3 linked regions of the Pelodiscus sinensis genome follow. The protein of the gene in region 1 interacts with the protein of each later gene in a pairwise test. Links are inferred from orthologs where the notes say so. Each region holds a gene or a part of one and is shown in the gene's direction. Other genes may lie near its edges.

Region 1 (10,522 bases):
CCACCTCCCTAGGAAACCCATTCCAGTGCTTCCTCACCCTTCTAGTGAAATAGTTTGCCTAATATCCAACCTAGACCTCTCCCACTGTAACTTGAGATCATTGGTCCTTGTTCTGCCACTTGTCACCACTGAGAACAGCCTTTCTCCAGCTTCTTTGGAAACTCCCTTCAGGAAGCTTCCAAACCGTTACAGGACCGCTTGGGAATAGTGACCATAATATACTAACATTCAACATTCCTGTGGTGGGAAGAACACCTCAGCAGTCCAGCACCCTGGCATTTAATTTCAAAAAGGGGAATTACACAAAAATGAGGAGGTTAGTTAAACAGAAATTAAAAGGCACAGAGACTAGAGCCAAATCCCTGAAAGCTGCATGGAATCTTTTTAAAGACACCATAATAGAGGCCCAACTTAAATGTATACCCCAAATTCAAAAACATAGCAAGAGACCTAAAAAAGAGTCTCCGTGGCTTAACCACCATGGAAAAGAAGCAGTGAGGGACAAAAAGGTATCTTTTAAGAAGTGGAAGTCCAATCCTAGTGAGATAAATAGAAAGGAACATAAACACTGTCAAATCAAGTGTAAAAATGTAATAAGAAAAGCAAAAAAAGATTTTGAGGAACAGCTAGCCAAAAACTCAAAAAGAAATAAAATGTTTTTTAAGTACATTAGAAGCAGGAAGCCTGCTAAAAAATCCTGTGGGTCCCCTAGACGATCGAGCTGTAAAAGGAGCAATCAAGGACGATAAAGCCATTGCGGAGAAACTAAACGATTTCTTTGCTTCAGTCTTCACGGCTGAGGACGTTGGGGAGATTCCTGAATCTGCACCATCCTTTGTGGATGATGAATCTGAGGAACTGTCCTGGATTGAAGTGTCATTAGAGGAGGTTTTGGAACAAATAGAAAAACTTAGGCTACGTCTACACTGGCCCCTTTTCCGGAAGGGGCATGTAAATTTCACCAGTCGTCGTAGGGAAATCCGCGGGGGATTTAAATATCCCCCGCGGCATTTAAATAAAAATGTCCGCCGCTTTTTTCCGGCTTTTAAAAAAGCCGGAAAAGAGCGTCTACACTGGCCCCGATCCTCCGGAAAAAGTGCCCTTTTCCGGAGGATCGGGGCCAGTGTAGACGCTCTTTTCCGGCTTTTTTAAAAGCCGGAAAAAAGCGGCGGACATTTTTATTTAAATGCCGCGGGGGATATTTAAATCCCCCGCGGATTTCCCTACGACGACTGGTGAAATTTACATGCCCCTTCCGGAAAAGGGGCCAGTGTAGACGTAGCCTTAATGTTAACAAATCTCCGGGACCGGATGGCATTCATCCAAGGGTTCTAAAAGAACTCAAATGGGAAATTGCTGAGCTATAATCTGTGGTTTGTAACCTATCCTTTAAATCGGCTTCTGTACCTGATGACTGGAAGGTAGCCAACGTGACACCAATATTTAAAAAGGGCTCTAGAGGCGATCCTGGCAATTACAGACCGGTAAGTCTAACTTCAGTACCGGGCAAATTAGTAGAAACAATAGTAAAGAATAAAATTGTGAAGCATGTAGAAGAACATAATTTGTTGGACAAAAGTCAACATGGTTTCTGTAAAGGGAAATCCTGTTTTACTAATCTGTTAGAGTTCTTTGAAGGGGTTAACAAACATGCGGACAAGGGGGATCCAGTAGATATAGTATACTTGGATTTTCAGAAAGCCTTTGACAAGGTCCCTCCCCAAAGGCTCTTGTGTAAATTACATGGCCATGGGATAAGAGGGAAGGTCCTTTCTTGGATTGAGAACTGGTTAAAAGACAGGAAACAAAGGGTAGGAATAAATGGTAAATTTTCAGATTGGAGAGGGGTAACTAGTGGTGTACCCCAAGGGTCAGTCCTGGGACCAATCCTTTTCAACTTATTCATAAATGATCTGGAGAAAGGGTGAGGTAGTAAAGCAGTGAAGGTACGTCTACACTACAGCGCTAGTTCGAACTAACTTAGTTCGAATTAGTTAATTCGAACTAAGCTAATTCGAACTAACGCGTCTAGAACTAAAAACTAGTTCGAATTAGCGTTTTGCCAGGTACAGGGTCTGCTGGCTGGGTGCTGGCAGGCTTGCACCTGGCACGGGCACCGTAGCCAGCCCGTGCCCCTTTAAGGGGTCCGGGGCCGGGAGGGGGGCATAGAGTTTCCCTGGTGTTGGCCAGAGTGGCCACCAGGGAAACCTGGGGAGGGCTAGCCTCCCACTAGTTCGAATTAAGGGGCTACACACCCCTTAATTCGAACTAGCTAGTTCGAACTAGGCTTAATCCTCGTAAAATGAGGTTTACCTAGTTCGAACTAAGCGCTCCGCTAGTTCGATTCAAATTCGAACTAGCGGAGCGCTAGTGTAGCGCCTATTAAAGTTAGTTCGAACTAATGTCCGTTAGTTCGAACTAACTTTGTAGTGTAGACATACCCTGGGGTAGTAAAGTTTGCAGATGATACCAAACTGTTTAGGATAGTCAAGACAGAAGCAGACTGTGAGGGACTCCAAAAAGATCTCACCAAACTGAGTGATTGGGCAACAAAACGGCAAATGAAATTTAATGTGGATAAGTGTAAAGTAATGCACATCCGGAAAAATAACCCCAACTATATGTACAGTATGATGGGAACTAATTTGGCTACGACAAATCAGGAAAGAGACCTTGGAGTTATCGTGGACAGTTATCTGAGAACTTCCCCGCAGTGTGCAGCGGCGGTCAAAAAGGCAAATAGGATGCTAGGAATTATTAGGAAAGGGATAGAAAATAAGACCCAGAATGTCTTACTGCCCCTGTCTAAAACTATGGTACGCCCACATCTTAAATACTGTGTACAGATGTGGTCTCCTCACCTCAAAAAAGATATTTTGGCCTTGGAAAGGGTTCAGAAAAGGGCAACTAAAATGATTAGGGGTTTGGAACGGGTCCCATATGAGGAGAGGTTAAAGAGACTGGGACTTTTCAGTTTAGAAAAGAGGAGACTGAGGGGGGATATGATAGAAGTCTGTAAAATCATGAGTGGTGTGGAGAGGGCCGATAAAGAAAAGTTATTTATTAGTTCCCTAAATAGAAGAACTAGAGGACACCAAATGAAATTAATGGGGAGCAGGTTTAAAACTAATAAAAGAAAGTTCTTCTTCACACAGCGTGTAGTCAACCTGTGGAACTCCTTGCCAGAGGAGACTGTGAAGGCTAGGACTATAATAGAGTTTAAAGAGAAGCTAGATAATTTCATGGAGGTTAGGTCCATAAAAGGCTATTAGTCAGGGGATAAAATGGTGTCCTTGGCCTCTGTCTGTCAGAGGCTGGAGAGGGATGGCAGGAGACAAATCGCTTGATCATTGTCTTCGGTCCACCCTCTCTGGGGTACCTGGTGCTGGCCACTGTTGGCAGGCAGGATACTGGGCTAGATGGACCTTTGGTCTGACCCAGTACGGCCGTTCTTATGTTCTTATGCTATCAATGCCAATTCTCTTCCAGAATATGATGTGAGGAAGTGGGTCTGGCCCATGAAAGCTCATCACCTATTAAACCATCTTGTTAGTCTTTAAAGTGCTACATAGTTTTTCCTTTTGTTTTAGCAAGATCAGACTAACATGGCTACCCCACTATTACTATCAAATCCCCCTTCACTCTTCTCTTCTGCAGACTAAATAAGCCCAAATCCCTCAGCCTCTCCTTGTAGACCATGTGTTCCAGCCGCCTCCACAGGATCCTCTCTGGTACATCCACATCCTTTCTATAGTGAGGTTGGAAGGGGGGGCAGAACTGGACACAATACTCCGGATGTGGCCTCACCAATGCCAAATAAAGGGGAATAATCACTTCTCTAGATATGCTGGAAATGCTCCTCCTAATGCCGTGGTCACCAACAGGTTGATCACATCAATTGGTCAATCGCAAGGCCTGAACCAGTCAATCGTGAGGCAACCGGGCCTCACCCCCATTTTCCACCCACCCCCCGAGAAGCCCCAGTACTCACCTCCAGCGAAAATGGAGGTAGTGCCGGCTTCCCGCGGGTGGATGGAAGTCCCGCAGCTTAGTGCCACTTCCGGAAGTGCGCTGGCTGGTTTGCCAGGCGCGCTGTGGGAGGGGCCCTGGGTCCGGAAGAGGAGCACGGTGATTTCCCTGCACCGGCGCAGGAGGTGTGAGTTGTCCCCGGGGCAGGCGTGCGCAGGGTTTCCCTGCATCATGGGGAAAGGGGGGGGGAGTGTGTTTTGGCCCCAGGCCAGACGAACGTGGCACCCTGTTCCCTGCCCCAGAACCCACTAGCACCCCTCCCCAGTACTGTGTCCCCTGCTCCCGACTGACTTTTCTATGCTTCAGGGTCATGCTGGACACTGTCTCTGCCCTCACAGCATCATCATCTGCTACTCAGACCTGAAGCCTCTGCAACTGCCCTAAGGAATCCTCTCTTGCTCACTCACTCCCCTTCTCCCAATCAGACTCTGATGTAGGTACAGTACTGCACTTCTAGTCTTCTATTCCTGCTGATTCCATCTTCTCTCCTCCTGCTTTTCCCTCTTTATCCTTAACGAGCAACACTGCATGTGATGCCTCCCATCGACATCCTGCCCTCACCTAGCTCTTTCCCATCCACTTTCCTTTCCGTTTTTCAACAGACTAATCCTTTCTTACTTCAGCTTCAGTATTGACATCATGTCAAGCCCTTTAGCTGTCTATCTCCCCTCCCTCACCTCTTCATTCAACCTGCTAGTCTCCCACTCATGAAACAGCCACTCTTTTGTAGTGAAGCACTGGAATGGGTTATTTAGGGAAGTAGTGGAGTCTCCATCTCTAGAGGGCTGTGTCTAGACTGGCCAGTTTTTCTGAAAAATCAGCTGCTTTTCCGGAAAAACTTGCCAGCTGTCTACACTGGCCGCTTGAATTTCCACAAAAGCACTGACTTCCTACTGTAAGAAATCAGTGCTTCTTGCGGAAATACTATTCTGCTCCCGTTTAGGCAAAAGTTCCTTTTGCGCAAAGCTTTTGCACAAAAGGGCCAGTGTAGACAGCTCAGAGGGGGGAGGTGGGCGTGTGAGCGGGGACTGATTGTGAGCAGAGGGGGAGGTGGGTGTGTGAACATGAGTGATTGTGAGCAGAGATGGGCGTGTGAGTGGGGACTGATTGTGAGCAGAGGGGGAGGTGGGTATGTGAACATGAGTGATTGTGAGCAGAGGTGGGCGTGTAAGCAGGGAGTGATTGTGAGCAGAGGGGAGTAAGTAGGGGAAATGACTGTAAGCAGGGGTGATTATCAGCAGGGGGAGTGATTGTGAGCAGAGGGGGGAGGGGGAGTGATTGTGAGCAGGGGGAGTGATTGTGAGCAGAGGGAGGAGGGGGAATGATTGTGAGCAGGGGGAGTGATTGTGAGCAGAGGGGGGAGGGGGAATGATTGTGAGCAGGGGGAGTGATTGTGAGCAGAGGGGGGAGGGGGAATGATTGTGACTGTGAGCGTGGACTATGGAATAGACCCAGCCCACACCGGTCGGCCCACGTGGGGAACACGCGGCGGGGTGGACCCGCACGAGACGTTCTGGGGACCCCCCGCCAGTCGCTGGGCAGAGCAAACACCCCTTGTGACGTCACAGGAATCCAGGCGCCACCGGCCTCTGCACACGACACTCGTGGGAGCCAGGCAAGGGGACCTATCCCGCCGAGCCCCGCCCCTTCGTGGTGCTGCCGAAGGCCCCGCGCGCTTTCCAGTCCGCCGCAGTCTTTGCCGCAGAAAGGCGCAGGTAACTAACTCAGTGCCTGTAGGAACGATCCACCCAGGGGCTCGTGGGAGCGGGAGTGGGCCCGGCAGGAGCAGCTGGGAGGCGAGGCACAAAGGGATGGAGGGAGACGGGAGGGAGGCCACAGCAAGCCTCCCTCATGGGCCGCTCGGGCTCCGTACAGGCCACCTAAAGGCCCTTTGTCCTCGACGGGTCGGCTTGAGGGTCATACTGCGCCGGCGCAGAGGGACAGACGGGTCGGACTGAGGGACATACCACGCTGCTGCGCTCCGCACCGACCAAGGAGGGAGGGAAAGTCCGGACCAGAGACAAAGGGGGGAGCCGAGTCGGGAACATCCGGGTCACTCGCTGCCGCCTCAATCCGGGACACGCGCGGGTGCTGCGGCCGCTCACGGTGAGGCCTGGCCGGGCGCGGGCCGGAGGGCGGCGGGCCCGGGAGCGGGCCCTGGGGGCGTTCGGGCTCCGGCCCTTGCTCCCGAGCCGCCTTCGCTAGGCCCGGCGGCCTCGTCCGGCGCGGGGAGGCGGGAGCGGGGCTGCAGCCGGGCCCGAGCGCCGCGTACCTGGCCCCGCCTCGGCCTGTGCCCCGTGGTGCCCGGCGGCTGCTCCCCGCGGCCTGTGGGCAGCCTCGGCGACTGGCCCTGTTGGGCCCCGGGGCAGGGAGCGCGGCGCTGGCGGCGGTTGTCAGCGCGGCCCGAAGGCTGGGCTGCGAGGCACTCGGCTTGTGGCAGGCTCGTCACCGGGTAACCCTCGTGGCGGCTTTATGTAGGCAACGCCAGACACCCCCTTTTCTGCTCTCCTGCTTTTATCGCCCAGCCTTGTCCTGGCTGGGTCCCCTCTTTCGGCTGGGTCCGCTCTTCCTAGAAGCAGAAGCTTTTCACTCTTTGGACAAATTATTCATCCATGTGTTTTAGCACAGACGGAATCCTTAGCTTCTTAAAAGGGATGTGTAGTTGTATAAGGCTTGCTGTGTTAAGCACTTTAATACTACTATTGTGCTGTGGGCTAAGTAAGAATTGTTAAAGGTAACTAAGATGATCACCCTTTTGTTTTGCCTGTAACTGCTCCTATGAACCCTCATTTAGAGTATCGTATGCAAGTCTAATCACTGTGCCACAGGAAAGATGCTGCTTTGAATACATTGCCTCACAGGGAGACAAACAAGCTATTGGCACCAGATAAGCTGAGTAGCCAGGGAAATGGGTAATGGGCTATGTTGAGCAATTCATCTTTCAGACCTAGGGTTTATATTCAACCAAAGTAGTAAGTGACAGGTCTTACCTGTGGGTGTTGTTTTATATATCTTACTTGAAACATGTTTGGATATCTCAATTCCATTCCTAGTGGACAAATATCAGCATAACAAAAAATAATTGCAGTGATTGGTGCTCTGTGGCAAAGAACTGAATGGAATGTGTAGGCTGACCTTTCTTAAGTTTTTAAGTGGCCTTTGAAGGCCTATGCAGTCTTCATGACAGACAGTTCAGTTGCTTTCACTAGTAACCTTACCATGCTTAGAGAAAAATCAGACTCAGCAGAATTTATTTCCCATGGGAAAAGAGAAGACTCCAGACTTGCAAAGTGTGAGATGGAATTGTGAGAAACTCAAAAGCTAGTAACTGTAACTGGAAAATCAGTTATTTTAGGTAAAACTGCTAGTGTAAAGAAAACACACATGGAACAGATTACTCGGGAAAGCAGATGAAGCAGAGGAGAAATGAGTGACACCCCTTAGATTTATTTTTAGGAGTGTTGAGTGAAAAAGCAGGAAGGAGGTCAGATTAGGAGATGCTGGAGGGACTCTTGGTGCCTTAGTGTATATCAGAATGCTCAATCTGTTAATCTTCTGTGTCGAACACCAACAGTGATGCAATCTGAGTGATAAATGCTTGTAGGTCCTTTCATGGAGGGACATTCACTGGAGGTTAGACAGTCGCCTGCCTTGTTCTCCTACTGCACAGTCATAAGGGGGGGGGGATCTGCGTTAATAAGTGGCTCTTGGATAGTCCTGTAGCTCTGTCATAATTGCAGTCAGTGGGTGTAAAAGAGAGGGCAAGCTTTAAATACTTTGTTTTTTTATCTTTAAGGTAATTGAAACATGGGGTATTCCATGTAGCAGTTAGTCACCAGAAATCATAGTAGCTGCCAAAGGCCTGCCACAAACACGCATTTGATTTAATAGATTTTTAAATAACCTGAGGTAGAAAATGGCATGTTTCCTATTCATTTTTTTTTTTTAAACTTTTGCACTCTGAACTTCGAGTATTTCATAGGGAAGTTGCTAAGATCAAAATGAGAAGATGCCAGAGAATAAGGAAAATTAGATCTCTATTTGCTTGCGACAATTTCCTATGATGCAAATAATACCTTATACTTTTTTGGCACTTTCTGTCTGAGGATTTCAATGTGTTTTACAGTTAATTTTACATTCTTTCGTAACTCAGATTTTCAGAAGAATAAAGAGGCAGAGATGAAAATGAAATAGTCAATTTTAATTGCATTATAAATTTGTAACCTTTATTGCCTATAGTTTAAATTACTTAAACTGAATTTATTTTAAATCTTCAATTTTACTTTCTTTGTTTACAAATGCTTGTCCAAGAGGAAAGCAATATATGAAGTAAACATTGAAAATCAATTAAGTATCAAAACATTTAGCTGTTTTCCTTTAGCTGTTTTCCATGATGTGAGATGCATCTGAAGAAGTGGGTCTTTGCCCACAAAAGCTTATGCTCCAATAAATCTCTTAGTCTGTAAGGTGCCATAGGATTCCTCGTCACGTGGGGTGGTGGTTAGGGTACGTAAGCTGTGAACAATGTTGAGGAATATTTAAATCTGCTATTGGAATTTTAAAGAGTCAACATGGAAACATTCTCTTAGGCATATATTTTATGAATGCTTTACCCCATCATTGTATGCCAAAGTTGTGTTGAGTCAGTTGTAAGTAAGTTGCCAAGGTCATCTGTGTTGTGGCATACCTGGGAATAAAACTCAGATCTAAAAAGTTGAGTCACAGCTCAATCACTAAACAACAGTTCTTTGATTCTTTGATTTTTATGCAACAAATGTTGTACTTCAGTATTTTCTCTGCACCTTTAACGAGAAACATAACTTAGACCCTCACTTGTCTAAAATCACATTTGGCAAATTTTTGTCTTGACTGAGTTAATTTTTGCAGAAAATTGTTCTTTATTTCTGCACATTTCTAGCTAGTCACTTGGAAATTATGTAGACTATGTACATTTACCTGTAAATAAGGAATTCATTTTTCTATTTAGATATTTATAGTAGCACAAGAGTATTCATAGAGCCATGTATAGTGTTTTTCTCTTGAGAATGAAAGATGTAATGTTTTTTGGTTAACTTTTAATGGGTTTTAAGGTAGAAAACTTACTACGTGCTATGAAATCCATTTTTCAGGTCTTCAGTTTTGATTATTCTGGAGCTAAAAGTAATGTGTACTGATGGAAATGAATTCTATAGCTTAAAAGTAAATTCAGAGCATAAGGGACTGTGCTTTCTTGTGAAATAATTAAGTCAGCTAATAAATAGCCTCACTTGATATATTTGTGTATATTATTAATTTTCAAAGCATGCATATTGCATTTTTCAGAAGAGGCTTAAGAGCTTAAATCTCATCAACTTTCAGTGGAACTTTGGCTCTGAAATGTTCATGTCTTGCTTACAAATGGGACTTGCACATGTAAGTCACTTACGTGCTTTTGAAAATGTTACTAAACTGTAGAAAGTACAGGATTCTATCCTCACCAAGCAATATTTCAGGGCTGTGATTTATTTTTTCCATATAATACTGATCTGAAATTATAGTAATGTGAAAGGAAACTGATTTATGTGAAATAATACTTGGCATTTAGAGCTTTATAAATATTAATTTAATTCTGCATGCTTCTATGAGATCCTTATTTCCATTTCTCTCAGGGAGTGTGGGGAGTAGGTAGATATACTTATTCAACCTAATACATTTGATTTTGATGTAAGTGGGATTTTAGGGCGCTTCTCAAAACTTAGTGAAACTTAATCTTGAGGTAGAAATACTTAGACGCTAATGTAGACATAATATTGTGTGGTAAACTTTTGAAAGTAGTCTGAGTTTATCCTGATTAATATGTTAAGCCCGTGGTCACCAACCCATCGATCGTGATCGACTGGTCGATCAGGAGGGCTTGACCAGTCGATGGCGAGGCATTCGGGGCCCCCCCCCCAATTTCCCTCACCCCCAAGAAGCCCCACTACCTACCTCCCTCAGTGGGGTAGAGGGAAGTCCGGCAGCTGTGCGCCACTTCCGGGGTTTCCGGAAGTGTGCTTCCTGCTCACCTCCTTCAGGTCTGTGGTGCGCTGAGAGGAGGTAGGAGTCCTGGAGGAAGGCACGTGCTGAGGCTTTGGGGCCAGGAGGGGGGGGGGGAAGGGAGGAGAGAAGGGAGGGCAGGTGTGCACCGGGACTCCCCTCCTCTGCGAGGGAGGAGTCCCCGGGGAAGTGTGCGTTAGGGCTTCTGTCCTGGGGAGGGGAGGTGCACACCAGGGCTCCCTTCCTCTGCAGGGGAGGAGGTAGGAGTCCCAGGAGGAAACACGTGCCAGGGAGGAGGTTGGAGTCCCGGGGTGAAGTGCACGCTGGGACTCCTCTCCTCTGCCGGGGAGAGGGGAGGAGTCCCAGGGAGAAGCAAGCACTAGGGCTTCCCTCCTGGGGGGGGGGGGAGAGAGGGAGGCACGCACCGGGGCTCCCTTCCTCTGCGGGGGAGGAAGTAGGAGTCCCGGAGGAAGCGTGC
Region 2 (10,888 bases), on another chromosome or scaffold:
GTGCCATTTTGGTGGGTATAGATTGTTGGGTGCAGGGGGATGTAGCTGCATTGGCCCCAGGAGATTAGAGAGTTGGGGAGGGTGAGGTCACAGCGCCCAGCTGCCCACACCACCATGTGGGGTACTGGGGCAGCACTGACAGCCAGGGGAGAGACCCCCGCACTCTGCAGCACAGAGCCCACAGGCACTGAACTGGGCCATTGGGTTCCAGGGATAGCGCCCCCTGCTGAGCCCCGCCTTGCCTCCTGCAGCACAGCACCCCCTGCTGGGTCTCCCACCTGGCTCCCTGTTGCACAGTGGCCCCTGCTGAGCCTCTGCCCTGCTCTCTGCCCCTTAGCGCCCCCTGCTGTTCTCCATCCTGCTCCCTGCAGCACAGAGCCCCCTACCAACATCCCTTCTCTGCAGACATATTTAAAGCCTGATGATAGAGTTAGTTCCCTCCCCAACCCACATCCACATTGTCTGCTTCGTTTGATAAGGATCCCCCCTGTTTACACGTTGCCCATCATTGTACCATATGCCCAACATTCCTGCGTAGGGGGGAGCATATGGGATTCTGGCACAGAGAGTCGCCAGATGGGCTCCCACCCATGAGGCTGCAGCAAAGAACCATCAAACCAACGCAGGCCACATGAGATCTACACTGCTCATGTAACAAAGGGAGAGGGAAAATCCATGGGGCCTGTGTTGGCTCCATGCCGGTGATTATTCAAAGAGGGGGCTGCATGGGAGCAGGGGGGAGGTTTTCATTGGGATCCTAAAACATTTTTCTGCCTGTCTCTAAAACCAGTGCCATAGTGCAGTGTGGGGCAGTGCTGTGCTGCAGGGAGCGAAATAGAAGCTCAGCAGGGGAGCTGTGCTGCAGGGATCAGGGTACGGGCTCAGCAGGGGGCGCTGTGCTGCAGGCGTGAGATGGAGGCTCAGTAACGGAGGCTGTGCTGCAAGGAGCAGGTGGAAAGGATCAGTAGGGGGCGCTGTGCTGCAAGGAGCAGGGTGGAAAGGATCAGTAGGGGGTGCTGTGCAGCAAGGAGCAGGGTGGAAAGGATCAGTAGGGGGCGCTGTGCTGCAAGGAGCAGGGTGGAAAGGATCAGTAGGGGGCGCTGTGCTGCAAGGAGCAGGGTGGAAAGGATCAGTAGGGGGCGCTGTGCTGCAAGGAGCAGGGTGGAAAGGATCAGTAGGGGGCGCTGTGCTGCAAGGAGCAGGGTGGAAAGGATCAGTAGGGGGCGCTGTGCTGCAAGGAGCAGGGTGGAAAGGATCAGTAGGGGGCGCTGTGCTGCAAGGAGCAGGGTGGAAAGGATCAGTAGGGGGCGCTGTGCTGCAAGGAGCAGGTGGAAAGGATCAGTAGGGGGCGCTGTGCTGCAAGGAGCAGGTGGAAAGGATCAATAGGGGCACTGTGCTGCAAGGAGCAGGGTGGAAAGGATCAGTAGGGGGCGCTGTGCTGCAAGGAGCAGGGTGGAAAGGATCAGTAGGGGGCGCTGTGCTGCAAGGAGCAGGGTGGAAAGGATCAGTAGGGGGCGCTCTTCCCTGGCACTCAGCACTTACCTCAATGTCAGTGGACCCAGGTCATTATGTCATAAACTGCTGGGACTGGCTGGCTGAGGTGTGCATGGAGATTCCTGGTCTTCGACTGGATGGGTGCTGACATCATAACAGTCCCGGGCAGAGGGTGATGCTGCAGGTGCTTCTCTGCCTCTGTAATACACGAGAGTTTCTGGGGGCACTGCTGAGAGGGCCAATTCAGGGCGAATTGCTTGGAGACAGAGCTACTTACAGCTTAAGTCTGGGAGTCCTTCACTATAAGGCACCAGCCAATCACAAAGAGCAGTTCTATTCACCGTACTGGCCAGCAAGAAGTCCTACATGCAATTTCCTTAGACACTCCAGTGCTCCTGTGCCACCACCAGCACCGCTCCAAGCACAGATGAGAGGTTATGAAAACTAATCTCGCCAAATCAAAATGGGTTTTCTGACCGCAAAGGACCAGCCACATTCCCAGCTCACTTTAGATCAGGGCTACTCAACTTTGGAAGCTCTGGGGGCCACAAAAATACTCCCAGCACATGCTGAGGGCCGCAAGTTAAGTGTAGTCGCAAATAGCTTCTTTCACACTGATTAAGTGCAAAGTGCACACTGATGCATACAAAGATTAAGGCAAGACTACACGATTTGCAGGCCCCATTTAAGTCTGTTCTGCTGATACTAATAAAATGCAATATTTACCCGATTTCCACCCACATGACCGCACTTTTGATGAGAACTTTTAAAAAGAAAAAGTTATATCCCAGTGTTTTGCGTGTTTAGCTTGAAGCTTCAGGTTGTGCACTTCTCAGAGTGATTTCACTCAGAAAAAGTTTCCAAACCAGAATGCTCCAACCTGTGGTGGGAGGGGAGCTAGACGAGTCATGCCGGACACAAGAGGCAAAAAAGGACAGGTGCTCCGGAGCCCCATCCTGGATTCCCAGCAGGGATGATGTCCCAGTGGAGGCCATGTTCAAAGGATCCCACCCACAAGCCACATGTTGAGCCCTGTGTACACCCAAACCGCACCGCGGACCGCAAACAAACAGGCTGCAGGCTGCATGGTGAGTCGCCATGCGTTAGACTGACATTACCCAAAAAGCATGCTGTGCCAGTCCTTTTGAATCTAAAATCTAAAGGGTTATCAATAACAAGAAATGGTGAGAGCTACAACTCTTAAAGGAATCAAATGCATGCACCAGTGGCAAAGTGTTTGGGGCAAGCTTGAAGCAGAGGTGAATAATCTGCTGTTTTAAATCAAGTCTCTGGAAGACACCCACTCAAGGGTCAACCATCCCTTCAAGCTTCAGTTCCTAGCAAAGCCCCTCCACAGGTGAGACGCTAGAATAAAGACAAATGGGCTTTGTCTACACAGCTGGCTTTTGCCAGCAGAGAGTATGCAAATGAAGTGCTGATTAGCATTTTGTCCTGCTTTATTTGCATAATCGATTCAAGCTGTTTTTGCGCAAGGGATTTTTGCGCAAAAACAAGCAGTGTGGACGTTTCCTTTTTGTGCAAAAACCCCTTTTTGCTTGTTTGTGCGCAAAAACCCCTTGCGCAAAAACGGTTTGAATCGATTATGCAAATGAAGTGTGACAAAATGCTAATCAGCACTTCATTTGCAAACTCCAGGGCTCTTTTTATATCATAGGCCACAATGAAGGACGCTCATGGCTCTCAGTGGGAAAATGCAGCTACAAAATGCAGTTTGTCACCTAAGCACAGCCCTTGTCCATGCAGGACTCAGTCCTTTTTAGGCAGCTACCATGGTCCAAATTCCAGATTGGAGGTTTGCAGGAAAGTCCACTGAGTGCAATTGGTGCTTCCCATGCTTCATTGTCCCAATCAACCTGAGAAGCCTTTCTCACACACACACACACACACACACACACACACACACACACACACACACACACACACAAATATGATACCTGCCCACAAATAGCATAAACAGAATCAGCGAATCATTAGCTTTCTATAGACACCTCACGTGGCCCACTTTATACAAGATTTAGTGCAAACATCTAGCAGTGGTTGCAACAATCACCTGTACGGACATATCACACTCCAGTAACAGTGCAGCCTCTTGGGACCCAATTCCGCTGGAGCAAACCTACAGATGCTACAGCCATGTGAATTGATCCCGATGCCATGGGGCGCCTGTCTCTACATAGACCCTTGTTCCCTTGCTCTGTCACTCGCTTTGCTCCACCACTGTCTCATGTCCATGACTGTCCTGGCATTTCCCTCTTCCTGGATGCAAATGGGACCGTGCAGGAATTGTGCCCTACCAGTTAATACTCCATTTAGAGGCGTGGTGCAGAGAAGGGCGGGGAGAAGATGGGGGCTGCTACAGACCAGTCCTGGAAGGACAGGGAGACAAAAACATTCAGACAAAAGGGAAGGGAGCAGCTGTAGAAAAGGGATGAATTTTGTGTGCCCTGCAGTATCTCAGAGCAGTGTTTCTCAACCTTTTTTTTATAAAGTACCCCCTTAAAAAAAATAAGTACCCCCAGTGCTTACAGTTTTCAGACACACAATTTTTTTTCTACCATTTTAACACATTTGTTTAAAAAACTTAATCATAGCCGGGCGGGTGATGACATTTTTGGGTGTAAAAAGTACAAAAGTAATAAAGCGCTGTACAACTTAAAACAAAAATTCAGTTTTCTCCAAATTTCAGTTGTGTTGATGTAGCCCCCCGACTTCTCTCGAGTACCCCTAAGGGAACTCGTACCACTGGTTGAGAAACACTGTCTCAGAGTATAGCCCAGTACTACAGTACAGCCGCTCCTCGAGTTGCGAACGGTTGAGTTATGACCATTTGCTCCAAAGCTCCTATGGAGCGGTCGTAAAGGCGGTCCCCTTACGAACAGCGCGGTCACGTGTAACTCAATGGGGTCCAAGTTACGAATAGATCGAGTTATGGGCAAGTGTTTGGTCCGTAAGTCGTTCGTAACTCGGGGAGAGGCTGTAGAGCTACCCCGAGGGGCTTGTTGGAGATGACTGGGCCAATCAGGCCTCACACCACTTTACTAGAATTCTTTGATGGGTCAACAAGCATGTGGCCAAGGGATCCAGTGGATGTAGTGAACTAGGATGTTCAGAAAGCCTTTGACAAGGTCCCTCGGCGAAAGCCCTTCAGCAAAGTCATGGGATACGAGGAGAGAAGGCCTTCTCATGTAAGTAATTAGGCAGAAGACAGGAACAAAGAGTAGGAATAAATGGTCAGTTTTCATAATGGAGAGTGGTAAATAGCAGGGTCACTGTAGGACCCTGCGATCAGAGCTCTTTGGAGAAGAGGATATAAAACTACTGAAGATGGCTCAGTCCAAAGCTGACGGCAGGGAGTTACAAAGAGACCTCACCAAACTGGGTGACAGGGCAACAAAATGGCAGGTGAAATGCAATGTTGATCACTGTAAAATAATGCAGGTTGGAAAAAAGAATCCTCACTAATCATACAAAATGCTGGGGACTAAATTAGCTGTTACCATGTGAGACTCAGATCTTGGAGTCATTGTGGAGAGTTCTCAGAAAACATGCACTCAATGTGCAGCGACAGTCAAAAAAGCAAACAGCAGCATGTCAGGAGCCATTAGGGAAGGGATAGAAAGTAGGAAATATCACAAAGCCACAGTATAACTCCCTGGTATGCCCACATCTTGAATACTGTATGCAGTTCTGGTCACCCCGTCTCTAAAACAAAATATTGGAATTGGGAAAGGCAGGGGGTTGAGGAGAGATTCATGAGACCAGGACTGTTCACTGTAGAAAAGACAGCACTGAAGGGGCATCTAGCTATAGGACGGGGGTGAAGAGACTGAATGAATTTCATAGAATCCTAGAGCTGGAAGAGACCTCAGGAGTCATCAAGTCCAGCCCCCTGCCCAAAGCAGGACCAATCCCAACTCAATCAACCCAGCCAGGGCTTTGTCAAGTGGAGACTTAACAGATTTGCTCCTTCCTATAACACAAGAACTGGGGTGACCAGATGACATGGACGGAGGGGGGGGGGCAGGTTTAAAATGTTGCAGCCTGCGGAACTCACTGCCAAGGGATGCTGGGGAGGCCAGACGTGAACTAGGCCAAGTCTATGGGCATAGTGACCCTGGCCACCAGCAGCCCTGCCCATCCCTCTGAGCTGTGTCTATCCTCATAGCCCTGCGCTTATCCTGATTGGAAGAAGAAGGGGGAGAGATAACTACTCCTGCCAGCACTTAAGATGGCGCCCCACTCCTTCCCATCTTCATGGTGTGTTTTTTGCCACCATTCAAGATGGCGTCTCATTCCAGGCTTCACTTGCCCTTTGTTCCTCCCTCTCTCAAGACCGCAGTGCTACCCTCGTAGGAAACTGATGGAAGGGCGCGCTGACTGGCAGATGAATTAACCCAATCAACAGGCAGCTTCCAAAGATGGACATCTCTATCAGCCAATAGACTGGCAGTTCCTCTGGCGGCATCCGCTAACTCCGGCGTAAGGCGGGCCTCGGGCCTCCAGCAGACCAATGAGAGTGGAGGGAGCGGCCCGGAATGGCGGGGCGTCGCGCCAATGGGAGTGGAGGCGGAAGAAGCGCTCTGTCGCCGGCAGAGGACGCGCCGCGCGGGAGTGGGAGCCGGAGCGCGGTACCACGTGAGCGGCCTCCGGGAGCGCGAGGTGAGAGCGGCCGGGCGGGGCGCTCACGCGAGCCCGGGGCTTGGGCTGCGGCCTGGTCGGCGCCGCGTCTCCCCCGCCCGGCCCGGCAACGGGGGGGGCCGGGGCCGGGAGCCTGCCCATGGCGGCCGCTCTGCTTGTGGGGGGGGCACGTGCCCCCAGCCCCCCCGGATCCTCCAGCGCCCCCTAATCCCGCCCGTAGCCCCGCCTCCCGCGCCCCGCAGTCCCGACCCGCGGGCCCCCAGCTCTGCCAGCGCCCCATAACCCCGACCCCCCAGCCCCCCCCGCAAGGGTACCGTAATGCCCGTCCACAGCCCCCAGCCCTGGCCCCCCAGCGCCCCATAACCCCGACCCCCCAGCCCCCCCCGCAAGGGTACCGTAATGCCCGTCCACAGCCCCCCCAGCCCTGGCCCCCCAGCGCCCCATAATCCCGACCCCCCAGCCCCCCCCCGCAAGGGTATCGTAATGCCCGTCCACAGCCCCCAGCCCTGGCTCCCCAGCGCCCCATAACCCCGACCCCCCAGCCACCTGGCTAGCCCAACCCCCCCCCCCGCAAGGGTATCGTAATGCCCGTCCACAGCCTCCCCATAACCCCGGCCCCCCAGCCCCCCCCCCCGCAAGGGTACCGTAATGCCCGTCCACAGCCCCCAGCCCTGGCCCCCCAGCGCCCCATAACCCCGACCCCCCAACCCCCCCCGCAAGGGTACCGTAATGCCCGTCCACAGCCCCCAGCCCTGGCCCCCCAGCGCCCCATAACCCCGACCCCCCAGCCACCTGGCTAGCCCAACCCCCCCCCCCCCGCAAGGGTATCGTAATGCCCGTCCACAGCCCCCCCAGCCCTGGCCCCCCAGCGCCCCATAATCCCGACTCCCCAACCCACCTCCCCAAGCGACCCAGTGTCCCATCTAGTGCCCCTCAATCCTGACCCATAGCCTCCCAGTCAGTGCCCCTCAATCCTGACCCACAACTCCCCTGGCTGTCCAGGCTCCCCACTCCCAGCTCTGCCAATGGCCCTCAATCCTGCCCAAGGCCCCTGGGCTAATGAAGTTTGGGGTTACTCCCCCACCCCAGCTCTGCCCGTGCCTCACGCTCTTGACCTGCAGCCTGTTACCCCAGCCTCATCTCCGTCCCAGCTCTGTGGGTGTGTCTCCATCCTGACCTAAAGCCCTTGTGCAAGTCCTGGGCTCCCCTCCACCTCTGTTGGCTCAGCACTGGCCTGAAGCCTTTACTAGCCTAGTACAGGCCTGGGTCCCTCAGTTCTGACCTGTCCAAACCCTGAGCTCCCTGTGCTAACACTGTTGGTACCTTCAGTGCAGCCCCGCAGCCCGAGTGCCCCGTTCCTCGCAGAATGGCGGAGCAGGATGTGGAGAACGAGCTGCTGGATTATGAGGAGGACGAGGAGCCCCAGGTGGTGGCGGACGCGGTGCCCCCTGCAGCAAAGAAGGACGTGAAGGGCTCCTATGTGTCCATCCACAGCTCAGGGTTCCGGGACTTCCTGCTCAAACCCGAGCTCCTGCGAGCCATTGTGGACTGTGGCTTCGAGCACCCGTCTGAAGGTAGGAGCGGAGCCGAGGCCCCTGGCCCCTGGGAGCGCAACCCCCTCGCCAGCCCGCCTGGGAGGACCTGCGGGCGGGGGCCATAGAGAGCGGCGCTGCCTGGTGAGAGCTGCGGGGATACGGGGGTGTCAGCAAAAGGAGTGTGATCCTGAGATCTGCCCTGCCAACTGGGGGCTACGGACGTTCAATAGCGACTGACTAATCGAATAGTCGATGTATTTTGCATTGACTATTCGATTAGTCGATGGGGCGCCTCCACCTTCGAAGTGTAGCAACAGCTCTAGGGCCCATGGGCTGTTGCTACACTTCAAAGGCGGAGGTGGAGCCTGGGATCAGCTGGGAACTCCCCCACTGACCCTGGGCTCTGTGTGGCGCTGCCGCTTTGAAACGCTGCGGGGAGCCTGGGGATACCCCAGCTGGCCCAGGCTTCAAGCGGTGCTACTGCTTTCAAGTACCCTCTCCTCTTTCCCCTCACCCCGCTGCCTCTTTCTGATGGAGGCAGCAAGGGATGGGGTGTGACCAGCCGACTAGTCCATCAGGCCTGTCTGCATTGGGGAAGCAGGGAGCGCTCTCCTTGGCACTCAGTATCAGCCCCAGTGCAGCACTGAGGGGCCCTGTGCCGCTGGGGGTGGGGTCTCAGTAGGTGACCCTAATGCCCCAGTGCTGGAGGGGGATGGGTTTAGCGGTTTGAGCAGCGGGCTGGGAGTCAGGACTCCTGGTTCTCCCCTCAACATGCTGCGCCCCATCTAACTGTCGTGTGTCTGCCCTCCCCTCGCAGTGCAGCACGAGTGCATCCCGCAGGCCATCCTGGGCATGGACGTGCTGTGCCAGGCCAAGTCGGGCATGGGCAAGACGGCTGTCTTCGTGCTGGCCACGCTGCAGCAGATTGAGCCGGTGGATGGGCAGGTATGGTTTGGGGGGGGGGGGGGGGAGCAGCCCTCTCTCTGACCCATTCCATGTGGGAAGGGGCCTGGGGCTGCCTATCCAGGTGTGGGGTAGACTTGGTGAAGAGACATCCTGGGCTCCAAGAGAAGGGCAGGGAAGGCGACGTGGACCCCTGATGCTTTAGCTTAGTCTGGTCTCCCCAGATCATTCATCCCTGTGAAGGGGCAAAGGGGGGGCACCTGTTCCCCAAATCTTGGAAGAGGGGGGAGGTGTCCATCCCCAGGAGGGTGTTCCTGGGTGGGGGTGTTGGGCTGCATCCCTGGAGAGGCAGGATGTCTCATGGGGTGCTGAGGTGACCCCGTCTCTCCCCCCAGGTGTCCGTGCTGGTGATGTGCCACACACGGGAGCTGGCGTTCCAGATCAGCAAGGAGTACGAGCGCTTCTCCAAGTACATGCCCAGCGTCAAGGTGATCCCATCCTCTGGCCCCCCACGCTGCCTGCGTCAAGGGGAGCCCCTCCCCAGCACCTCGGATGCCCTCAGGGGATGAGGCTGGCTCCCCTGTGGAGCTGCAGTGCTGTTTGGCCTGGCTGCAGGGCACGAGGGGTGGAATGTGGAAGCTGTTCCCGTCTTCTCTCTCGGATTGTGTGGGGTGGGTCAGGACTCCTGAGTTCTCTCCCGGCTCTGGGAGCGGAGTGGGGGTTGGAAGTCAGGACTCCTTAATTCTAGTCTAGGCTCTGCCACTAACCTGCCTTTGGACAAATCCCGGTTCCTTTGCCTCAGTTTCCCCCACTGAAAGGGGGAGGTGCTCTCCTAGCCCCAGGTGTGCTAGGTGCTTCTGGTTTACTGCCTGGCTGCTGACCCTGCTGTTCCCCCGGTCTCCTGCAGGTGGCGGTGTTCTTCGGGGGCCTCTCCATCAAGAAGGACGAGGAGGTGCTAAAGAAGAACTGCCCCCACATCGTGGTGGGGACCCCGGGCCGCATCCTGGCCTTGGTGCGCAACAAGAGCCTCAACCTGCGCAGCGTCAAGCACTTTGTGCTGGACGAGTGCGACAAGATGCTGGAGCAGCTTGGTGAGAAGGGGGGTGGACTGGGGTGTGGGGAGGGGGAGGGGCTTGGCATGCCTGGGGCACCTGAGCTCAAGGGGCTGTCTGCATGCTCTAGCAATTTGGTGACTCCTGGTCTGACTCGCAGCCCTGGGAGGGGAGTGGGGTCTAGTGGTCAGAGCAGGGCAGGCTGGGTTCTATCCCTACTCCCCTCCCAGAGCTGGGACTACATACCAGGGTAAGAACCTACTACACCTGCTTGGGTGGAGAGCACCTCCTTCCTCCAAGGCAGAAGCAGTGGGCCTGACCATCAGGATCAGGCCTGGAGCAGCTCAGTTGTGTGTCCCTGGAACCTGCTGGTCTGAAGCCCAGGCTGGTATTGTAGGCGGGGCAGGGCAGAGGGAGGCAGACACTCAGTGTAGCGGGATCGGTCTGGGATCGAGCGACCTAGAGGTGCCTACCTGGCTCTGGTGTGACCTCGGCAGGCTGGTTCTTTGCATGGATCCCAGCGCCTTCCCCCGAGTGGTCCCTCTGCTGTCCCTGTGCAGTGACCCCTCCCTCTCCACAGACATGCGGCGGGACGTGCAGGAGATCTTCCGGCTCACGCCCCACGAGAAGCAGTGCATGATGTTCAGCGCCACCCTCAGCAAGGAGATCCGGCCCGTCTGCAGGAAGTTCATGCAGGACGTGAGTTGCCTACCCCCCTCCATGGGCCTTGTCCCTCCAAGAAGAGCAATCCTCAGACCCAGCCTGCCCCTGGCTGGGCTCCACACTCGTGGCCTGGCTGCCCGCAACTCATCCAGCACTTGCTGGCTTAGTGGGGGACCCTAGTCAGCTCCCCTACACTGAGCAGGAGGCAGCCTGGGAGGGGCCAGCTGGTCTGGGGTTCCTGGCTCCCTCACGCTCAGTCCCTGGGAGCCCAGTGTCCTCTGAGGCCCTGGCCCAGTGGGGGCTCACGCCTGGCAGCATCTGGGCTCCTGGCACATGCGTAGCCTGGGCAAGGCAGGCGATTCTGACCCATGCTGGGGCGGAGCTTTGACCGCCTCTAGTGGCTGGGTTTCAGGGCAGGGGAAGGATCTACTACAGCTGCTGTCAGAGGGAATTCCTTCCAGGCTCAGGTTGTGGAGCCCTTGCTGGGAGTGCAGGGTCCAAAATGGGGTGGGGGCAGGGCTGGTTACACTCATGTGGCCCACGCAGGGTTGGGGGAAGCCCCTTGGCGGTGGGAGTGTCCCT
Region 3 (10,150 bases), on another chromosome or scaffold:
AAGTTCCTCATATAATACATATGCATACATTGCCTTGTATATTAAAAATGTATACACTTGGACTGAGGTGTAGATGGACATAGGAGACAGACTTGTTGAGAGTCTCTGGGTTAGGTTAAAAGGGGTAAAAAAACAAGGGTGATGTCATGCTAGGGGTCTACCACAGATCACCTACCCAGGCAGAAGAGGTAGATCAGGCTTTTTTAAACTAACAAAATCATTCAAAGTGCAGAATTTGGTGGTGATGGAGATTGTAACTATCCAGACATAGGTTGGGAAACTAACATAGTGGGGCACAGATTATCCAACAAGTTCTCGTACTGCATTGGAGACCATTTTTATTTCAGAAGGTTGAGAAAGCTACTGAGGGGAAGCTGTTCTTGATTTGATTTTAACAAATAGAGAGGAACTGGTTGAAAATTGGGAAGTGGAAGGCAGCTTGGATGAAAGTGATCGTGAAATCATAGAGTTCATGATTCTAAGGAGTGGTAGAAGGGAGAACTGCTAAATAGTGATAACGGATTTCAGGAAGGCAGATTTTAGTAAACTTGAGAGCTGATAGGTTAGGTCCCATGGGAAGCAAGACTAAGAGGAAGAACAACTGAAGAGAGTTGGCAGTTTTTTAAAGGGACATTGTTAAGGGCTCAAAAGCAAACTATTCCACTGTGTAGGAAAGATAGAAAGTATGGCAGGAGACCACCTTGGATCAACCAGGAGATCTCACATGATCTAAAAATCAAAAAGGAGTCTCATAAAAAGTGGAAACTAGGTCAAATTTCAAAGGATGAATATAAGCAAACAACACAGGTATACAGGGGCAAGATTACAAAGGAAGAGGCATAAAACAAGCTAAATCTAGCTAGAGACATAACAGGTAATAAGAAGACCATTCTACAAATACATTAGAAGCAAGAGGAAGACCCAGGACAAGGTAGGCCCATTGCTCAGAGAAGAGGGAGAAAGTAGAACAGAAAATTTGGAAATGGCAGAAGTGCTTAATGACTTTTTTTGTTTCAGTTTTCACCAAGAAGTCTGAAGGTGACGGGATGCCGAACATAGTGAATGATAGTGGAAATGGGGTAGGTTTAGAAGTTAAAATTAAAAAAGAACAAGACAACAATTACTTAGAAAAGTTAGATGTCTTCAAGTCACCAGGGCCTGATGAAATGCATCCTACAATACTCAAGGAGCTGATAGAGGAGGTATCTGAGCCTTTAGCCAACATCTTTGAAAATCATGGAAGTTGGGAGAGTTTCCAGAAGACTGGAAAATGGCAAATATAGTGTCCATCTATAAAAAGGGAAATAATAACAACCCAGGAAACTACAGACCAGTCAGTTTAACTTCTATGCCAGGGAAGATAATGGAACAAGTACTTAAGGAATTCATCTGCAAACATCTGGAAGAAAATAAGGCGATAGGAAACAGCCAGCATGGATTTGTAAAGAATAAATCATGTCAAATCAATCTGATAGCTTCCTTTGATAGGATATGAAGGCTTGTGGATAAGGGAGAAGCTGTGGATGTGGTATATCTAGACTTCAGTAAGGCATTTAACATGGGCTAGTGTGACCTTATCAATCAACTAGGGAAATACAACCTAGATAGGGCTATTATAAGGTGGATGCATAACTGGCTGGATAACTGTTATCAAAGAATAGTTATTAACAGTTCACAATCATGCTGGAAGGACGTAACAAGTGGGGTTCCTCTGTGGTCTGTTTTGGGACTGGTTTTGTTCAATATCTCCGGCAATGATTTAGATGATGGCATAAAAAGTAGTTTGCAGATGATTCCAAGCTGGTTGCAAGTGCTTTGGAGGATAGGGTCAAAATTCAAAATGATCTGGACAAACTAGAGAAATGGTCTGAGCTAAATAGGATGAAGTTTAATAAGGACAAATGCAAATACTCCACTTAGGAAGGAGCAATCAATTTCACACATACAGAATGGGAAGGGATTGTTGAGGAAGGAGTACTACTGAAAGGGATTTAATGGTGATAGAGGACCACAAGCTAAATATGAGTCAACAGTGTGACGCTGTTGTAAAAAAATCAACCATGATTAACAGGAGTGTTGTGAGCAAGACACGAGAAGTCATTCTTCCACTCTGTGCTGTTTAGGCCTCAGTTGGAGTATTGTGACCAGTTTTGGGCACCCCATTTCAAGAAAGATGTGGAGAAACTGAAGAAGATCCAGAAAAGAGCAACAAAAATGATTAAAGGCCTAGAAAACATGTGCTATGAAGGAAGACTGAAAGAACTGGGCTTTAGTTTAGAAAAGAGAAAACTGAGAGGGGTCATAATAGCAATTTTCAAGTATCTGTAGTAAGTTGAGGTTCAGTAACATGGAGTCAACAGGCCTAAATAGAAGCCTGTAACATGAAAACAGCAACAGCCCTGTAATCCAGTGAGCAAGACTTTGGTTCAGTAACACAGGAGCCAAGACTGAGGCCCTACTGATAACTGTAATTGTGTAAGTTAGGTGAAGCATGGAAGGACACAGGGAAGCACCAAGTACAGACTGTAAGCCAAAAGGGAGTAACGGAACATCTTAAGGAATGTCCTGGTACAAGAACTCCCTATGAGTTAGGCTCATACCAACCTAGGTTCAGGACCAGGTCGGAAATGACAGGATGACATATAGAAGGTAAGCCCCCCTTGCATAAAGTGAGGGGTGGTAACTAGGCAACAGAGGGTGGCAACCTGGTACATAAAGAAGTATGTAAGTTGTTTGTACCTGTTTATAAAAGGACACCGCAAAGGGTGCTCTCCGGCCAACCTTGGGGGAGAGAGGGCGGGCACACTAGGTGCCTGAACGGCAGATGTCATTGCCTAAACTTACAAAATGCACAGTAGCTTAACTTTGACTAACTGCTGTTAATATCTGATACACGGCAATAGACCTGCCCGGTGTTTATACCCTGTTAACGCGGGCCATAGTGCCCAGTGGTGTAACATTGTACCGATCTCTGTTACCAATTGGTAGAGCTTCACATTTGACAATAAACCTGCTTGATTGATTTCAAACCTTGCCTGCATCTGTCATTTCCAGGGCCTCTCAGAGATCTCCTGTGTTGACCCAAGTGAACGGGGTCTAACACTCTAGATAAAGGGAGTATTGATTGTTACGCACACAGCCGAAAGTTTATCATCATCAATGGAGTAGAGGTCCTGTCAGGAGCATGCCAGGACAACCCTGACCAGATGATGCTGACATTGACAGTTCAGACCACCAAAGGTATCGAGGTACAGAACACCGAGGTACGACAGAATCTACAGGGTGTTACAAGAAGGTGGAGAAAAATTGTTCTCCTTGTCCTGAATATAGGTCAAGAAGCAATGGGCTTAAATTGCAGCCAGGAAGGTTTAGGGGCAGGCACTTTTTTTCTCAATAATGTCCCCTGACTTTTTTTCCCTCAACAAAAAATCCTTGGTGTTCCTCATAAAAGAAAAAATATTGCTTGGTGTTCCTCAGTCTTAAAGTTTAAGAAACACTGGTCTAAATGGTACTGAGTCCTGTCCTCTCAAGGTCCAGTTGTAGTGTTCTATAATTCTACCTGCTTTAGAGCTGTCCCATTCATAGGGACTGTTCAGGGCAGTTTCCCTGCACCTCGTGCTTTAGGGAGGGCCCCGCGCTTCAGGGTGACATGGGGCTTGGGCAGTGTGTGGGCCAGCACCAGTGTAACCAGCCATGCTGCCCTTTGCCCCACCCCTGCTTCAGGGGAACACAAGGCCAGGGGAACACAAGGCCTTTCTACTTCTTGTAAGCTTCCTTTTTGTGTTTAAGCTCACGAAGGATTTCCCCAGTAAGCCAATCTGGTCGCCTACCATATTTGCTTTTCTTGCTGCGCATTGGGATGGTTTCTTCCTGTGCCTTTAATAATTAATGCATAATTAATGAGCACCCGCTTTTTGCGTAAAAGCCTCTTGCTGGTGCTCATATGCAAATGAGGCTCGATGATATTCCACGCTTAGTCTCATTTGCATATTTCTTGTGCAAAACGGGCACTGTATACATAGCATAAGTGTTCCTATTTTTGGTAAGAGCATGTAGATGCTGCTAGCTGTAATTTCTCCACAGTCACAGAGTGTTGTTAAAGTCTTTGTAGTGGGGGAGTGACATGACCTCATATGTATTATATGCACTGGTGGTGATGGAGCAGTCTGTTTTAAACAGCAAATTCCCTGTCTGCTGCCAGATAAATTATGTCTGGATTTGTCCCAGTACAGTAGTTAGGGGGGAGGGCACAACATTGTTGTTAACTCTCTTAATTTTGTCATGAATCCCATGGGCTACGTTTAGACTGGCATGATTTTCCGCAAATGCTTTTAAAAAAGCACTTTTTGCGGAAAAGTGCCAATCTAGACGCGGTTTTGCACAAGAAAGCCCTGATCACCATTTTTGCCATCGGGGCTTTTTTGCGCAAAACAGTTTTTATCTGTCTACAATGGCCCTTTTGCGCAAAAGCATTTCCGGAAAAGGGCTTTTGCCCGAACAGGAGCATGAAAGTATTTGCAAAAGAAGCACTGATTTTGTACATTACAAAGTCAGTGTTCTTGCGCAAAATCAAGCGGCCAGAATAGACAGCTGGCAAGTTTTTGTGCAAAAGCAGGTGCTTTTGCGGAAAAACTTGCCAGTCTAGACACAGCCATGGTGACTGGTTTCCTTAAAGCCTCTGCTCCTGGAGCCCAGTGGATATGTGATGACTAAAGCTTCCCCCACCGTCATGCAGGCTAGAAACTTCATTTTTCTGAAAGGAAAAAAAAAAAAGTTTCTAGCCTCTGTGACTGTGAAGAAAGTTTCCAACTCTGACCCCAGAGCACCCTATAGGCTCCAGAAGCAGAGGGTAAATAAAAATAACACCCCGTCTATTATATTTACAGTCCTGTCATTTTTAAGCCAGTCTCTTGATTTTTGGTGAGCCGGACTCATGGTTTTTTGAACATTTGGGGGTTGCACTAGTGGGGGCAAAGCTGCCAAAAGAGGCGCCCCACGCCTGGGAGGCAAAGCTCTTATTCCTAAGGTACAGGTGGGGAAACCGAGGCACAGGGAGGTTCAAGTGCATCCCCACACATGTATTTACACTTCCCATTGCCAGGAAGCGGCCCGGCTTCACCCAGGCTGGCGGGCGCTGACCTCAATGGAACCCGGCTCATAGGCACTGACCTATGGAACCCTTCCCTGGGCGCCTCCCGCCAAGCCGGCCGCTGGCCCTTTAAGACGCTCGCAGGCCCGCGGGCGGAGTTCCGTCAGGTTCGAGCGGTGCGCGCCCGGCCCCGCCCCGCCCCGGAGGAAAAACAAACTCACTTCCGGCCGAGACATCCCTGCCGGCCGGAAGTGAAGAGAACTCGGGGCGGGGGAGGCGGCCGCCTGGGTTCGGCCTGAGGGGAGCGTTGGCTGGATGCCCAGCGGGGCCATGGTGGCGGAGTAGAGCAAAGCCCGCGCCCGGAGGCTGGCGGTGGGAGGAGGTGAGGGGGCGCTGCTTAAGGGGAGGGAAAGAGGAGAAGCCGCCGCGCCTATCGGAGCCTGCTCTAGTCTCTCCCCCCCCCCCCCAGCGCTCCCTGAGCCTGGAGCCTGCCCCCCCCCGTCCTCGGCCAGTGCCCCTAGAGACTGCCCCCCCCCCCCCAGCGCTCCCTGAGCCTGGAGCCTGCCCCCCCCCCCGTCCTCGGCCAGTGCCCCTAGAGACTGCCCCAGCCCCCCCCCAGCGCTCCCTGAGCCTGGAGCCTGCCCCCCCCCGTCCTCGGCCAGTGCCCCTAGAGACTGCCCCAGCCCCCCCCCCCCAGCGCTCCCTGAGCCTGGAGCCTGCCCCCCCCCCGTCCTCGGCCAGTGCCCCTAGAGACTGCCCCCACCCCACCGCTCCCAGAGCCTGGAGCCTGCCCCCCCCCCGTCCTCGGCCAGTGCCCCTAGAGACTGCCCCAGCCCCCCCCCCCCCCCAGCGCTCCCTGAGCCTGGAGCCTGCCCCCCCGTCCTCGGCCAGTGCCCCTAGAGACTGCCCCAGCCCCCCCCCCCCCAGCGCTCCCTGAGCCTGGAGCCTGCCCCCCCCGTCCTCGGCCAGTGCCCCTAGAGACTGCCCCAGCCCCCCCCCCCCAGCGCTCCCTGAGCCTGGAGCCTGCCCCCCCCCGTCCTCGGCCAGTGCCCCTAGAGACTGCCCCAGCCCCCCCCCCCCCCAGCGCTCCCTGAGCCTGGAGCCTGCCCCCCCCGTCCTCGGCCAGTGCCCCTAGAGACTGCCCCAGCCCCCCCCAGCGCTCCCAGAGCCAGGAGCCTGCCCCCCCCGTCCTCGGCCAGTGCCCCTAGAGACTGCCCCAGCCCCCCCCCAGCGCTCCCTGAGCCTGGAGCCTGCCCCCCCCCCCCGTCCTCGGCCAGTGCCCCTAGAGACTGCCCCAGCCCCCCCCCCAGCGCTCCCTGAGCCAGGAGCCTGCCCCCCCCGTCCTCGGCCAGTGCCCCTAGAGACTGCCCCAGCCCCCCCCCCCCAGCGCTCCCTGAGCCTGGAGCCTGCCCCCCCCCCCGTCCTCGGCCAGTGCCCCTAGAGACTGCCCCAGTCTCCCCCCCCCCCCAGCGCTCCCAGAGCCAGGAGCCTGCCCCCCCGTCCTCGGCCAGTGCCCCTAGAGACTGCCCCAGTCTCCCCCCCCCCCCCCCAGCGCTCCCAGAGCCTGGAGCCTGCCCCCCCCCCCCCGTCCTCGGCCAGTGCCCCTAGAGACTGCCCCAGTTCCCCCCGCAGCGCTCCCAGAGCCTGGAGACTGTCCCCTGCCAGCCTACCTCCCTCCTTCTCCCCCCCCCTTCCTGAGACCCCTCTTGTCCCTGACCCCCATGCTCTCCACTGTCATGTGTATCCCCAGGACCTGGAGACCACCCCAGCCCACCCTGCCCGGCTCCAGCCCTCCCCCCCCATGCCTGGAGATTATTCTTGCCTTAGCTTCGCTTGGTGAGTGCCCCCAAAGAATGGAAACTGCCTTCCCCCCTCCAAGCATGGACGCAGCTCCCTTACCAGCCCTCTCCGGCCAGTGCCATCTGCAGCATGGGAATTGCCCCTTTCTCTATTACACTCAAGCCTCTTCTCCACAGACATGTAGAGTTAAGAAGTAAATTCTTCTACTTCTCCAGACCGCCATCATGCTAAAACAAAGTGTGATGGAGGTCTGGAGAAGTAGAAAAATTTACTTCTTAACTCTACATGTCTGTGGAGAAGAGGCTTGAGAAGAGGTCAGCTCAAATCCGAATCCTTAGTAGATAGAATTCCTCCTTTTGTCGAAAACATATACAAACATTACCCTCTGGACTCCAATTGCCAAAAACAACAACAAACAAACCAACTTTCCTTGTTCTTTCACAGCTACATCCCTTTTCCTGCCTTCCTTCCCAAGGAAGAGAAAATGGGATATCTTTCCCTGTAGTTGGGGGTCAGGTATCACTCTCTCCAAACCAGACTTTTCATTTGTCCTTGAATTGGCAGAGACTTACCAGGCATTCCAGAGGCAGCAGTCCCAGCAAGCATACACTTGCATGGTTCATACTCTTTGTGTGGACAGACATGACATTTTCTGAAACACTTATGAGCCCATCCCATTGAACTGTGGTGTCCAACACACTAGCCACTAGCAGCTATTTGGTCGGTTGAGTGTGGCTAGTTCGCTATAGCAGTAGCTACTGTAGTGGCTACTGCTTCAAAACTTATTGGATACCACAGCCATAGAAGTTGTCTTAAGCCTGTGGGGCAGGCTTACTGCTAACTGGAGGCATTTAGATATTTTGAAGTAATTGTAAAACTGTTGCTGAAGTACCTTTAATAACTGTTAGGCAGCATCTCCAATGATGTGGAGTAATTGGTTACACTGTAAGGAAGCTGCTTGCATGTAAACAATGTGTAATTGGGATATCTCTGTCTTATATGATTCTGAGACTTAATTAGCTAGTACTTTTATAATGGCTTGAACATGCAGTACACTATATGTGTTAAGTTTTTATATATGATTATGGTTGAATCTGTTTTCTATTCTAATCCTTTTTCTTTGCTCAGAATTTTAAAGCTAATTCCTGAGGTGGTAAAGTTTTCATGGCTTGCTCTCGACCTGGAGGTGAATTAATCTATTTTTGGGGAAAAATGAACCAACTTGGGTGTACTACTTTAAAGTTTTCAATCAGAAATTTTGTACGTGGGTTAAGTCAATTACTTCAAATATAATGAGCTTAGCATGGTTTGTAGATACATTGAGATAGAAAGAACAGAACAAATTTGAAGAAAATTGGCTTTAATTTTAAGGTTGAGCATTTAAATAGGAAAATGTCATACATGCTTACTAGAATCTTGCTATATGTCTTGACCGATCAAAAAAATACAACTCTTAAACATTGGGAGTGGTGGAGTACTTTCAGTTGGAAGTGTTAGACAAAATTACCTAGTCAAAATTAATGTATTATTGAAAGATATGTATCTATGCTTAATTTATTACTTTCAGCACACTTGGTTCTGGAAATGTATTAGAAACTGTGTACTCTTTTATTTTTAGCAATGTACAGATCATCAAGGACAAGATAGTGTTCTGTGATTTTGCTTAGGCTTTTTTAAGTAATAAGCAACTATTGTAATTGTTGCAATATTGTTTAACTAACTAGGAACAGATATCCAAGAACCTTGGACAACAGTTGCAAACAGCACAGAAAAGTAAGATTAGGGTGTCTCATGAAATAAAACAATTTGGGGGCATTTCCTGTCCGTGATAAACAGGGATATAAATATAAGTAGAATTGAGTTAATGCGTTGGAACAGCATGAAGACATAACTTCTGCAAAATCTGTTCTCGAGACTAGGTCATTTGTTTCTGTATTGTGCTGTTGAATCTTTGACCAATAATATTTTGATTTTTAAGCTTGCATAAGCTTTGGTTATTTGACACAGTCCATTTGAGTCAATTTCAAGGTCGTAGAATTTTTTAAATAGTAAATGTTCATGATTTCAGCTATTCACATCAGAAATATCATGGTGTTGTAATTGTAGGGGTCCTGACTAGGGATGTTACATATCAGTTAATTGAATAGTCAATTAACCTAATGTATTCTTATCAGTTACTCGACTATTCTATAGTCATCTGGGGTGGGGCCAGCAGCCAGTGTGCTCTGGCCCCACTCCCGAGGAGCCTGTTGCCACTCCATGCTGCTGCCAGGTGGGAGCTGATCTGTGAGGAGAGCCAGTTTAAAAACCAGTTCTCCTCACGGACCAGCTGCCTGTCGCCCAATGCTGCTGCCTCTGCTACAGCTCCTGGGGATGAGCTTCTGGATTTGGCGTGAGCCAGAACTGAGCTGGGCTGCTGGCCAACCTACTAAAAAATTTACTGGCCCGGGGTGTGTGTGTGGAATATGTGTAGTCTAAAGCATTAACCTATAAGCTTTTGCTAATGGGTTAATCGACTACACTATTACATCCCTAGTCCTGACCCCCAATAGGAATAGTATGTATGTGTGTATGGTACTGCTACCCTTACTTCTGTGCTGCTGTTGGCACTGTCTTCAGAACTGAGCAGCTGGAGAGTGGCAGCTGCTGGCCGGGAGCTCAGCTCTGAAGGCAGAACTGCTACCACCAGAAGCAAAGAAATAAGGATAGGATGGTATTGTATTGCCACACTTGTGCATTGCTGCCTGCGGAGCTGGGCCCTCAATCAACAGCCACCCAGTTCAGAAGGCAGTAATGCAGAAATAAGTGTGGTGTGGTATATCATATTGTCACCTTTACTTCTGCGTTACTGCTGGCTGGGTGCTGCCTTCAGAGCTGGGTGCTCGGAGAGCAGTTGCCACTTTCTGGCCACCAAGTTCTGAAGGCAGCACAGAAGTAAGGATGGCAATACTGCAGCCCCCCTAAAATAAACTTATGATCTCCCCCCACCCCATCTCTCTTTTGACCAGGACCCTTAGTTTGAGAGACGCTTGGGTCTCCCATGTGAAATCTGTATAATATAGTGTAAAAGCACAGGAAAGAACAGATTTCATGATCCATGATGCATATTTCATGGCCATGAATTTGGTATGGCCCTAGACATTTCATAACACTGATAATTTAAAAGTGAACTCTAACAGAAATTATCTAAAATCTGAGAGAGTGTAATGTTAAAGATGGTGGAGAATTTGAGATGGCTTTTCTTTGATTTTCACATTTGAA

What was found.
Region 2: the proteins of UBE2I (region 1) and DDX39A interact in a two-hybrid assay, tested with the Homo sapiens proteins (3 studies listed by BioGRID, with this or other methods). The link is inferred for Pelodiscus sinensis from reciprocal best matches to the Homo sapiens genes UBE2I and DDX39A.
Region 3: the proteins of UBE2I (region 1) and SETX interact in binary tests that used the Homo sapiens proteins (3 or more experiments, as listed by UniProt). The link is inferred for Pelodiscus sinensis from reciprocal best matches to the Homo sapiens genes UBE2I and SETX.

What each region holds. Positions count from the first base shown.
Region 1 is NC_134726.1:41,416,451-41,426,972, forward strand, and holds the start of UBE2I (SUMO-conjugating enzyme UBC9), read left to right. Parts: upstream 1-5,633; 5' UTR 5,634-5,744; intron 5,745-5,951; exon of another isoform or gene 5,952-6,135; intron 6,136-10,522. UniProt on the Homo sapiens protein: Accepts the ubiquitin-like proteins SUMO1, SUMO2, SUMO3, SUMO4 and SUMO1P1/SUMO5 from the UBLE1A-UBLE1B E1 complex and catalyzes their covalent attachment to other proteins with the help of an E3 ligase such as RANBP2, CBX4 and ZNF451.
Region 2 is NC_134729.1:10,430,453-10,441,340, reverse strand, and holds the start of DDX39A (ATP-dependent RNA helicase DDX39A), read left to right. Parts: upstream 1-6,041; 5' UTR 6,042-6,174; intron 6,175-7,482; 5' UTR 7,483-7,519; coding exon 7,520-7,727; intron 7,728-8,505; coding exon 8,506-8,633; intron 8,634-8,986; coding exon 8,987-9,079; intron 9,080-9,498; coding exon 9,499-9,682; intron 9,683-10,223; coding exon 10,224-10,342; intron 10,343-10,888. UniProt on the Homo sapiens protein: Helicase that plays an essential role in mRNA export and is involved in multiple steps in RNA metabolism including alternative splicing. Regulates nuclear mRNA export to the cytoplasm through association with ECD.
Region 3 is NC_134732.1:15,269,620-15,279,769, reverse strand, and holds the start of SETX (putative helicase senataxin), read left to right. Parts: upstream 1-5,303; 5' UTR 5,304-5,471; intron 5,472-10,150. UniProt on the Homo sapiens protein: Probable RNA/DNA helicase involved in diverse aspects of RNA metabolism and genomic integrity.